Callithrix jacchus: one gene and its partners. The protein of the gene in region 2 interacts with the protein of the main gene of each other region in a pairwise test. Links are inferred from orthologs where the notes say so. Each region holds a gene or a part of one and is shown on either strand. Other genes may lie near its edges. The genes, in order: LTO1, YAE1 and CEP126.

Region 1 (4,407 bases), on a different chromosome or scaffold from region 2:
GTACATAATATTTTTACTTGTCTTTGATTATTTCCTAGAGATGAAGTCTTAGAAGTGAAATGACTAGGTCAAGAGATAAAAGAAGATTTATTTTATTTTATTTTGTTTTGTTTTATTTTATTTTATTTTATTCTTTGAGGCAGAGTCATGTTCTGTCACCCAGGCTGGAGTACAGTGCCATGATCTCAGCTCACTGCAACCTCCATCTCCCGGGTGCAAGCGATTCTGTTGCCTCAGCCTCCAGAATAGCTGGGACTATAGGTGCATGCCACCACACCTGGCTAATTTTTGTGTTTAGTAGAGACAAAGTTTCACTGTATTGGCCAGGCTGATCTGGAACTCCTGACCTCAGGTGATCTGCCCACCTCGGCCTCCCACAGTGCTGGGCATGAGCCGCCACCATACCCAGCCAGCAAAAAAAAACATCTAAAATGCCCTTCCTATGTTTTTGAACTGCCTGGCCAAGAGGTACCTTAAATTTATGCACCTCTGCGCAATAAATCTTTTAATTCTGAAAAAGGAGAAAAAGAACTTAAACTATTTTAAAAGGGAAACAATGCATCTCATTGTTCTTTCTTAGCATTGCTTTGGTTACTAGGAAGGCTGTGTCTGCTTTTCCCTCCTGGCCAGATGATGTTCTCTGTGAATAACGTTTCAAGTCTGTTTTTGCCCCCTTTATGATGCATTTATTTCTTATCCATTTAAATAAACCTTTACCAGAAATATTATTCCTTTAGTTACAATGTTTATGACAAAGATTTCCCCATATTGTTTAACTTTAAATTTTGCTTATTATCACTGTTGGTACACGCAAGTTTGCATTTTCACATGGCAAAACGTTGGTTTTGCTGATGGAGAATTCCTTCATGGCTTGTACGTGTTAAAAGAGCATCTTCATACTCATCTGAATGTTCCACCTAGATTTTTTTTTTTTTTTTTTTTGAGATGGAATCTCGCTCTGTCACCCAGGCTGGAATGCAGTGGTGTGGTTTCAACTCACTGCAACCTCGGCTTCCCGGGTTGAAGCAACTCTCCTGCCCCAGCCTCCGTTGTAGCTGGGATTACAGGCGCCCTCCACCACGCCCAGCTAATTTTTGTATTTTTAATAGAGACGGGGGGGGGGGGGGGGGCGGGGTTCACCATGTTGGACAGGCTGGCCTCGAACTCCTGTACTTGTGATCCGCCCTCCTCGGCCTCCCAAAGTGCTGGGATTAGAGAAGTGAGCCACCCAGGTGATGACTTCTCATTTCTTTCTTGGTTTTTTTTCGGAGCCACTTTGAGAAATTCGGTTCCATCTGTGGTGGTAAAATACAGGTCGGTTCCCCCCGCGCGCGGCCAATGGACGCTCCCAGTGCGGACAGACAGGCCCTTGGCGGGAGCGGGGCGGGGCGAAGGGGCCCCAGGGCGGGGCTTCGCCCGAGCCCGGCTCCTCCCACCTCCGCAGCCGCTTGTGTGCCCCGAGCCGGCTGCTTCTGGACCCTCCCGCGTGCCGTTCTTACCCGGCGTGCCCCGCGCCGCTGCTTCCGGAAGTGGACGTCGTCTCCTCCCAAGTAGAGCGTTTGTGCCTGAACTTGGCGGGTTTGCTAAGGCACCGAAGGGCTGCAGAAGCCCGGCGGTCAGGGGCGGGCTGGTTGCCGCAATGGCTGGGAGTCAGGACATATTCGACGCCATCGTGATGGCGGATGAGAGGTGGGTGGCGAGTTCGGGCCCACACTCCGCTCTTTCTGGTCTCCCCCAGTGGATTCGCCGCCGGCTGTGGTCCAGGGCGGCTGCTGGAGCCTGGCGTCCCGCGGGCGTGCGCATTGGGGGAGCGTCTGGTGGCCGTGGACGCTGGGACAAGTGTGGGTCGAGATGCTCTGGTCCTCCTCCTCCTCTCCTCGCCAGCTCCGGCGGGACACGTGCCCAGCTGCTCTTCCAGACCCGCCTCCCCTGTCCGGGCTTCCCTGAGCATCTGCTCGGTCTGTGGTTACCCTCCTCCGGGGCCGCCCCGTCCTCTGGAAGGACAGACCTTTGCCATCTGGGAACTGCCTCTTTTTCTTGTTCCTCGGTCTTAGGACATACGGCAGTATTCATGGATGTGCTGATAGATGTGCCCGACCCCACCCCTTTCCCTCCAGAGCCCTTGGGGAGCCCCTCGTGCTGCGACAGTGGGGGAGCTGTGAGGTGCCTCCTGGCTGACTTCCAGTGCCCGGCCCACAGAACACGCCCATAAATGTTAGTTCAGAAAGCCACGGAACGTTTAGCAGTCAGTCGCTGACGTTTATTTAGCTCGCGCTGTGGGTCAGACACAGCTAAACGTTCCACCCTGCTTATCCGTTTCAGCCCTACTCGGTAAATGGATCCTATTATTCGTCAGAATTTACAGAGGAGGAGGCACCGTCGCTTTCTAATAAGTGGGGAGCTGTGCACTCTGCTTCATGGGGTGCTGCAGCCCACTCCTTGCATCTTTGGTGACTGCAGGTTAAGATAGCGTTAGTCCCACTGTTGGTCCTCAGGGTCGGACGTAGTACATTTGTGGTGACTGGATGGCATGTCTCGCTGTTGTCCAGTGATGTGTTGTAAAACCCTGTGAATGTTGCAGGGTTTTGGAAGTGGTTGGCCTGGGCTCGTGATACTTGTCCACTCACAAAACGTTGGCTACCTCACTCTGGCTGCAAATCAGACTCAGGAGACTGAAAAGTAGATTCGTGGCCAGGTGCGGTGGCTCACACCTGTAATCCCAAGACTTTTGAGACGCCAGAGCTGGAGGATTGCTTGAGCCCAGGAGTTTGAGGCTATAGTGAGCTGTGATCGTACCCCTGCACTCCTGGCAGGGCAGCAGAGACCCTGTCTCCAGCCTTACTGAATCTCTGGGGGTGAGGCTTTCGAGTTAATTTGAATTTTCCTTGTGTGTTTCTAGTATTCTATCAGGTTTGGGATTCACTAATTAAGCCCTTTGTTGTAGATGAAGAAACAGCTACAGGAGGTACAGTGACTTGTGAGAGGAGACTCAGGAAGGGGTAGAGCTGGCACTGGAATATGTGTCTTCTGACTTGAATTTTATGCTTTTCCTATTTTACTCTGACTTTGTCTTACTGGGTCTGGGTAATATATAGAAAAACAGTTTGTCTGGAATAAGTATTCTTTCTCCTGTTGATTTGATGAAGCATGCTTCTCCTTCACAGGTTTCACGGGGAAGGGTATCGGGAAGGCTATGAAGAAGGCAGTAGTTTGGGTGTGGTGGAGGGAAGGCAGCATGGCACGCTGCATGGAGCCAAAATCGGGTCTGAGGTAAGTGGGAACCCCCTTTTGGAGATGAAGCCTCTTCATTTACAGTTTATAATTTATTTCAATATTCAGTGTGATGGAGTAAGAATGTCGGGCCTTTTAAAATCACAGTACCTGACTCATGCCTGTAATCTCGGCACTTTGGGAGGCTGAGGTGGGTGGATCACCTTGAGGTCAGGAGTTCGAGACCAGCCTGGCCAACATGGTGAAACTCCGTCTCTACTAAAAATACAAAATTAGCTGGGTGTGGTGGCTCATGCCTGTAATCCCAGTTACTTGGGAGGCTGAAGTATGATAATTGCTTGAACCTCGGAGATGGAGGTTGCAGTGAGCGGAGATTGTACCATTGCACTGCAGCCTGGGCGACAAGAGTGAAACTCCATCTCAAAAAAAAAAAAATCCCAGTGCATTTGTGTGGAAGGTAATTGACTACATGTTCTGTTGGGGTAGTATTCTTAGTACAGAACCAAGAATGCATTTTGCTGTGTAGACTTAATTATATTATGCAGGCTGGTTAAGAGAAAGCAAATCCCTGGTCTCCTTAGTTTACTTGGGAGTGTCATGGTGCTGGCTCATACACTCAGCCAGCTGAATCACTGTCCAAAGAATGGGTGCCCTCTGTCATGTGAAAATCTTCCATATATGTTTGCTTTGAAATTTCATTGACTTCATGATATTTTTTTCTTTTCTTGTCTTTGTCCTAGATTGGACCTTATTTACAGATAAGTGGTCCTTAGTGGCAAAGTCTGAGTTGAGGCAGTTATGAGTATATTGGATGTTTGATGCTTCGAAACAGATCACCACAAAATATGTGGGCTTAACACAGCAAATATTGATTACCTCACATTGTTTCTGAGGGCTGGGAACTCAGGAGCAGCTTTGCTGGGTGGTGCTGTCTCAGGGTGTCAGCCAGAGCCACATCACCTGAAGGCTGGACTTGGGTTGGAGAATCTGCCTCCAAGGTAGTGCTGTCACCTGACTGTGGGCACAGACGTCTCCATAGGGATGCTTGTGTGTCTTCGTGATGTTCGAGAGAAGAGAGAGCTGGTGAGGCAGGTAACATTGGCTTTTATCCCTGGACTCAGGCATCCGGGAGGCCGGCTGCCCCACTGATGACCTCGTGTCCTAATTTCCATTGCC
Region 2 (4,435 bases):
CATTCTCGTGTAACGTTGTTCTCTTTAAAAATCAGGGCCACGACAGGATTATCTATCTCATTGGTATTTTCAAATAATACAAAAAAGAATTGGACTTATTTATGTAAGTTTTGAGGTCTTCTATTTTATTCATTGTCATCTTTATTACTTACTACCATTTTGTTCCTAATTAAGATATATACATATCTTAATATATTTACATTAATAAAATATACATATTTATAGTTTATATCCTTTTTATTTGTGGAATGACAAATTCTCTCTGGAGATTTAATATTGTAACGTGAACCAAAAACCCACTCCCATACACTCATGGTTCTTACTTTACTTATTTTTAAATTTTTTTCATAGCACTTATTTTTTTTTTTTTTTTTTTGAGACAGAGTTTTCGCTCTTGTTACCCAGGCTGGAGTGCAATGGCGCTATCTCGGCTCACCGCAACCTCCGCCTCCTGGGTTCAGGCAATTCTCCTGCCTCAGCCTCCCGAGTAGCTGAGATTACAGGCACGCGCCACCATGCCCAGCTAATTTTTTGTATTTTTAGTAGAGACGGGGTTTCATCATATTGACCAGGATGGTCTCGATCTGTTGACCTCGTGATCCACCCGCCTCGGCCTCCCAAAGTGCTGGGGTTACAGGCTTGAGCCATAGCATTTATTTATGATCTAACAAACCTTATGTTACTTACATATTGCTTATTGTTTAACCTGTCAATTTTACATAACTATAAAGTCAAAAATGGTTAGGAACTTCTGTCTGTTCACTGATGTATCCGAAAGCCTAGAATGGTGCTTGACACAAGGTAGGTGTTCAAGAAATTGTTAGATAACTAAATCATTATCACATGACTCATTTCACTTAGGCAATGGGCAAAACAGGAATACTACAGGAGTTTATTCATTTACCAAGATCGAGATCAGCATCTACTATGTGTCAGAACCGTGCTGGTGTTGACACAAGTCCCCACCCTTACCAAATCAACAGTCTACCTTGGGGCGTATGAATAGAAATGGGAGGCAGAAGGATACTGTGCATCAGTGAAAAAAACGCCTTGGCTTTACAAACGTACTCTCTCTTTCTTACTGATCTCAAATTGGCTGCAGTATCTGACTTTTCGATTCTATTATCCTTTGCTCCACAAGCCTAACAGTTAAAAATGTCGGTTTGTCAAACCCTTTAAATGCAGAGGAGATTCCAACAGAGATAACGACTTTGGGCGATAACCGCCCATCGACTTTACTGCTTTTAACAATTTACCAATGTGCGCGTGTGTAAAATCCAGACCATGGTAGAGACTACGGTGGAAATGGAAGGTGTTTCACTGAGGGTCCTGGCTGCCTTCTGCAAAGGTGAAGGTCGTGCCGGCCACGCGAGGAAGTCCGCCTCGCTCACAACCGACAGGTGCACATCAATGACTTCGCTCAAAATCACCGCAAGCGAAGGTTGGGGCTGCGTCCACCCGCCACAGCCCGCCCCCGCGCACGCGCAGCCCCCTCCCGAGCTCCGATTTGCTGTCTTCGCCCCGCCTTCGGACCGGAAGGAGTTGTCGGCGCTTCCGGTGACCTGTAACACCGTAATTGCCTCGGTGATGTCGTGGGTTCAAGCGGCATCCTCGGTCCGTGGCCCTGGAGACGAAGGGGACGTGTTTGACGAGGAAGCAGATGAATCGCTCCTGGTGCAGCGGGAATGGCAGAGTCACATGCAGAGACGAGTCAAAGTAAACGTGGGTGGACGGCGCGGGGTGCTGGGTTGTGGAAAGAGGCGCGGAGTTGTCAAGAAGCTGGGTCCAGAAGGGCACCAGCGTGGCCCGGCGCTCCGCTCTTTATCCGTAGGAACGCGGTCCAACCCGCGTCTTGCTAGGATTTCTCAATGGTTACTTGAAAGTGTACGAAACAACAGGACGCGTTCTTTGAGCGCCTACGGGGTGCTTAGAAGCTGAGGACCGACTAAATTTTACTGTATCTGGACTTTAAACAGTGCAATTTGTTGAGGATCACAGGGAAAGGAGTTGGGGGGAAACATACACTGACTCTACTAATTATGGCTGTCAAAGGATGTGTAGGCAGTTTATATTAATTGCTTGAATGGATCGGGAGCCTGAAGTTAAGGAGTGGTATTAATCGAGACATACTGAAAAGATGAACTTAAGAGTGCTGTCAGAGGGCAATAAGGGAAAGCTAATGTGGAATACTGGTGTCTAGATAAGGGAATATTAAAGTTGATTTCTTCTTTATTTGTTAGATGTAACTTTTTCATCTCTAGTTTGTCTCACTATTCATTGAAACTAAGCTTAATTTCTGTGAGCAGACTTCAGAACCGAGTTCTGAATGAGGACCAAATGGTGAGGTCCACATCCACTTAATATATTTGCCAACCATTAAATTGCCGCTAACGCTGCAGTTGGGTATCTGCGCTGGTTTAATATTTCAGTAAAGTATTATTTGCTTAGCTCAAAAACCAAGTGGTCAGTTACAAAAATGCTTTATGTGAGGTTGGGGCTACCCTAGTAAGTATTGAGCATCTTCTGAGCGCTGTGGCCACCATAAGGGATGCAGAATGAAATCACTACCCACAGAGCTTTTGCAGGTTAGTTGAATTTAGGGATTAAGCAAAATTACTGAAACCAGACTTATCTTCCTTTTTTTTTAAACGATTTTCTCTCTCTGCTTTCCCATGTCTCCTCACCCACCCACACCATTCCAATCAGTTGGCAAGAGCCCAGATATGTATTTTTCCATATATTCATTTTGTGAAGACATTGCTAACACTGAGTTTTTGGTTTTTTTTTTTTTTTTTTTTAGTCTTTTGAAGCCGTTAGAAGAGTTTATTTTGTGCTTAGGATATTTTTCTAAGGCATTACAAGTTACACATCCAAACTCTTCAGTGGTATATTTTATATTCTAAAGGAGAGGGCTTTAGAGAAAACTTGTACATTTTACTACTGTAAGTCTAATGGATTCATATAGCAACAGAGCCTAAAAAGAAGGGGACATTGTCCACTACATAACGGTCAGTTGATTCATTGTATTTATGATTTTTCTCCTTCTTGTAAAGTCAAAACTATATGTATTCTAGCTTTTTAATGAGTAAAAGTACACTAAGTGTTCCCTCCTGTTGATTTCTACCTATGAAATACCACACAATATTAGCAGTCAGGAAAGAACAGGAGAACATGAAGTTTGTCTCTTAAAAATTATGAAAATGTTAATGATTTTAAAACATCAAGCATTACAAACTGTAAAATCAATTAAGAACTTTCTGTATATGAGGACAAAGATATATTTAAAATATATACAAGAAGATGCTTTTTCCTGAGTAGAATGCAAACTTTGTTTTATATTAAGCTTCTGAGAATTTTCAAAATGTAAAATACCAAGGATTTTCCACATGAGACAAAAGTCAGGAATGTTCACCTTCACATCCAAAAAGAAAAATTTTTTTAATTATTTCAAACTTATATTTCAAACTTATATACCTGGTGTTTTTATGTTCTGAATGTAGACTCTGATTTAATGACAATCTAGACTGAACCCTGCAATATACAAGCAAGTCACAGCAAGAAGTTCAGCAAGAATGATATAAAATCTTAAATGAATGGCCAAGATTTTAAATTATCAACAGAAAGTTCAATTGATGGATCTAAAAAGAAATGCTGTTTACTAAAACATTAAAAAAAAATTCAGGAAATTATCATCCAATTTGAAAAATAAAAAAAATGTAACCCATAGTAAATAAAAAATACAAGAGAAAGTCAGCCTTTATTGGAATCAAGACAATACCATGGACTTAAAAACTTCCTAAGTCACTAGCATATCCTGTATTAGCATGTGTCGTAAACTGTAATAAATTAATATAAGGTAGTTTTTATTAGTTGCAACCTAAAAATACGAGGAAATTTTGGAATATATTTCTGAAAAGAACACAGAATTGTCACTGACATACATATTTCTTAAGACAATGATCAGAGTTCCCATTATGGGAAATATCTTCCTTTTTTCACACAGTGAAGCTAAGAAAAATTATATCAAATAAGAAATATTTTTCTCTAAAATAATCTTTAACACCCCAATAATGCAATACTTGGGAAATGTAAATTTTCAAATCTGACTTGAAACAGGTTATTATTAAATAAATATACATACATCTTACTGCTTGGCACAATAGTTCAAAAATTAGAGAACTATTTAAACCATCATCAACAGTGCTTAAATCATATTTCAAACTTATATAACTAGCGCTTTTATGTTCTGAATGTAGTCTCTGATTTAATGACAATCTAGACTGAACCCTGCAATATACAAGCAAGTCACAGTTCACTTCAAACTAAAAGAAATGACCAATCTTCTGTTTTTATCAAAATCATAATACTAAGATACCTATAAAATTTAACTAGGATTTATCTGTGGCCAATGACAAACCCAGAGAGTGTTATCTTA
Region 3 (3,649 bases), on a different chromosome or scaffold from region 2:
ACTCCTTTGCATTCATCTTCCTCCCCATGTTTGCCTCCAACTTATTTAGCTTTTCCCTCTCCAGTTTCTCCTGCTACTTCTTCCTTTATGATTTCCTCTTCCTTTCCCCCTATTCTTCATTCTCCCTCTGTTTCTACCTCCCCATCTCCTTTTATTCCTATCCACCCCTTCAATCCTCCTCACTGGGGGAAGAAAGTAGAGAAGAGAAGAGAAGAAAGTGGAGTAGAGAAGAAAGGAATAGAGAAGAAAAAGTTGAGAGACAACAACTTTAAAGGTAAATAATTTGAGTTTACTAGATATTTTGTAGATATAGCAATATTTTGTTTGGGAAGGGTGACTGAGGGGGAAGGATTATGTAAGAGTAGAAAAGTATAAAAGGAAGAGACAGAAACATATCCTCAATGTTCAGGAACTTGTATCACATACCTTCTTGCTCTCCCTCATTAATGTGTGATCACATCGAGATAGTTAAGAATCTAGTAATCATTGAGCTTGACTACTCCAGTCTGTCCAAATAAAGATATATATGGATATTGGAGATAGTTAATAGGTATATGTCACATGTGGCCATTGTCAACTTCCAAAACATTTTTATCCTCATTGAAGTGGGAATAATTTAATTGAATTAGGAATAAATGCTCTTGGGATTCACACTGCCAGACCCAGTGCATCAGCATTCAGCTATATAATAGTCTCATCCCCATCCTATTCTCCCCCAAAAATTTTCTTTAGTTCTTTGCTTTCACTTTGTATATATACTGAAGTGTAACATGCTATAGGTTTGCAGAAGATACAAAATTCTAATGGAAGATGAGGTCATGCACTGAAAATATTTAGGTGGCCCTTTAGCACAGTAAAGGTAGACTCTATATGAAAGGTACACTTCTATGGCATAAAAACCATCCTGAAACAACTTAAAATAAGTGAGTACATGGCCTCCATTGAGGAAGATCCAGGTTCCCAAAGCTAGATAAATAGGGTGAAAATTCCTGTGGACCCTGATAGGCAGTTTTTATATTTTCTATCTGCTTGAATCTTCAGCCAACATTATTAGGGTTATAGATTTTTTCCTAACTTACCATCCATCACATCATCTCAGAAAGAATGGTAATGCAGCGTATTATTATCCATATAGGAATGCTCTTAAAGAACTGAGGACTAACTCTATGCAGAAATTACTTCTACTCTTATCCCAGATGAGAGAGGGATAGGTTATAATAATCAAAACCATGAATTACTAGGCATTTCTATATGAAGGTGTTCTTTATTGGCACTTTAGTCTCACAACTATTTTTATTCTACTATTGATTGCCTTAAATTCTCATTCTAACTTGTCTTTATTTCTCCAATATCCTTATATGTGATTATCTGGACAAACACACATATTACACAAATGTGTCATGTATATACATATAAAAAGAAGTTAACTTTATTTAAATGTACTAAGCACTTTTTATGTCTGTTTGACAGAGCGATAGATTCTGCCTTGCCTTCATCATTATCAGAAAATGATCACAAGCATCAGAAACAACTCCTATCAAAAACCAATTGTGATAAACAAATGAATGAAAACATGAAGGCAACTTTGGCTACTAACAAAAATGTGTTCCAGCTTAAACTGGAGGAAACTCAGAAACTCCTAGAAGATCAGCATCTAAGCAGTTTGCAAGTATGAAACTATAAAGACCTTATTAATATTTTAATTCCTAGTACTAATTCTGCTCCACTTTTGTAGTGTTCTCCACTAAAGAAATATGTTACTGAGAATAGGCCATGAAAGAGAGTGTGGATGTATCAGCACAAATTCATCATAGAAACTATAGAAATAATTTTTTAGTTTTTTCCTTACCTTTGAAAATACAATGTAATGTATTATTGTTAGAGGCTGTATTATAAAAAGCAACCAGAAAATTATAATACATGTAGATATTAGTTTCTTAATGGAAATATGGCAGAATTCACTAGAAATGATACTTGTAGTCTGTCTCTAGTAGGGCATATACTTTGTTAACAGTTTTTTCCACAAATGAATATAGATTTCAACTGATATTCCTACATGTCCATCCATGAACTTTATTACCTGGGGAATTTAAATAATAACAATATATGGACCCCATCCAAGTATTAAATCGGCATGACCCAGGTATAGATATTTTACATAGTTCTTTATGTAATTTCAACATGTAGCCAGAGTTAAAAACCTTACTACAGTTCACGAAATTAAGTTTTATAAAAAGATGTAACTTCTACTAACAGGAAGCTCACTTTAGGATCACAGAGCTTTTAGGCTCTGTGAATGTTTCAGGAAAAAATACAATTTATAATTAATTTTTTTCAGAATTTCACTTGCTATTACTAAGCTTTCAAGAAACTTCATACTCTAAATGGAATGGCAATAACAAAATTATTTTATAAGTTATAACTGTGGCTAGAATAAGTGGGTATTACTTTAGGAGTTGAAGTCAAAGCAAGCATACTTTACTATAAGTCTTTGTTACCGCCCTGTTTTTTACCTTGAGGATTGATGCAGGGATAAGAATTACTTATATACCTACAATGTTTATAGTCATATTACTCTATATGCAAGGAGAATTGGGCTCAGTAACAATGGTATGTTGAATCATTGATATTGGCATTTGAAAGTTTATAAACTATAAAACAATGTTGTTGTTTTTTCAGAAATTTTGTGATGAAGTTAATCAGATAACCAATTCTGAAACCCTCTCAAGTATAGACAGTCTTGAGGCTACAGAACATGAAGAAATATATTTAACACTTAATAAGGAACATTCCACATCCATCCAGCGGAATATCATTTCCCTCAAATCAGCAGATCCTCAATCAACTAATCTAAGCTGCTTTGATGAAGATAAACTGGCATTCTCTAAAGCTCAACATATAAATAATTGGCTTACAAATTTAGATGCTTCAAATACTCAGAATGTCACACCTTTCTCAGATAATTTAAGTAAATCTAATGTTCTGCCTTCATGGGAATGTTTTAATAGTAAAGAAAAAAATCCATCTCCTTTGACTGCAACAGTGGAAAAAGCCACAAATACTGCTAATAATTCAGTAGGCTTTGTATCTACCCCACCCATATTTGTACTAGATAAAAAAAGTGAAAAGGCCTCTGAAACTAGCACTATAAGGACAACTGACACCACGTCTGGAGCATTCAAAAGAGAGAGGCCATTAGTTACTGAGAGCCCAACCTTTAAATTTAGCAAATACCGGAGCACTTTGGATTCTCTAACCCAGGAAGTGACTACATTTCCAGATCAAGAAAAATATTCTGAATTAAATCAAGAAAATGGAACTACTTCAATTCCTACTTCGTGTGTATCACTGGCAATGCCTTTAGTTTTGCCATCTAATACACAGTCAGCTAGACCTCTAGCAAAGAACAGTATACACATAAAAGAAATTGATGCAGTGCAGTGTTCTGATAAGTTAGATGAATTGAAAGATGGTAAAGAAGAAAACATAAAATATTTTAATTGTCATAAGGGAGAGTTGCCTTTATTTTCAGACAGTTTTCAAGATGCCTATATACCTCACAATCCCAATTCAAAAGATGAAAAACAAAAATTAGCTGAAACATCATCCTTGCCAAATGTAACTTCTAAATATGACTTAGTTGGCCAAC

What was found.
Region 1: the proteins of YAE1 (region 2) and LTO1 interact in binary tests that used the Homo sapiens proteins (3 or more experiments, as listed by UniProt). The link is inferred for Callithrix jacchus from reciprocal best matches to the Homo sapiens genes YAE1 and LTO1.
Region 3: the proteins of YAE1 (region 2) and CEP126 interact in a two-hybrid assay, tested with the Homo sapiens proteins (2 studies listed by BioGRID and IntAct). The link is inferred for Callithrix jacchus from reciprocal best matches to the Homo sapiens genes YAE1 and CEP126.

Annotation. Positions count from the first base shown.
Region 1 is NC_133511.1:126,594,373-126,598,779, reverse strand, and holds the start of LTO1 (protein LTO1 homolog), read left to right. Parts: upstream 1-1,525; 5' UTR 1,526-1,639; coding exon 1,640-1,841; intron 1,842-3,164; coding exon 3,165-3,270; intron 3,271-4,407. UniProt on the Homo sapiens protein: The complex LTO1:YAE1 functions as a target specific adapter that probably recruits apo-ABCE1 to the cytosolic iron-sulfur protein assembly (CIA) complex machinery. May be required for biogenesis of the large ribosomal subunit and initiation of translation.
Region 2 is NC_133512.1:8,032,514-8,036,948, forward strand, and holds the start of YAE1 (protein YAE1 homolog), read left to right. Parts: upstream 1-1,572; 5' UTR 1,573-1,587; coding exon 1,588-1,722; exon of another isoform or gene 1,723-4,435. UniProt on the Homo sapiens protein: The complex LTO1:YAE1 functions as a target specific adapter that probably recruits apo-ABCE1 to the cytosolic iron-sulfur protein assembly (CIA) complex machinery. May be required for biogenesis of the large ribosomal subunit and initiation of translation.
Region 3 is NC_133511.1:37,717,898-37,721,546, reverse strand, and holds part of CEP126 (centrosomal protein of 126 kDa), read left to right. Parts: intron 1-1,470; coding exon 1,471-1,669; intron 1,670-2,679; coding exon 2,680-3,649. UniProt on the Homo sapiens protein: Participates in cytokinesis. Necessary for microtubules and mitotic spindle organization. Involved in primary cilium formation.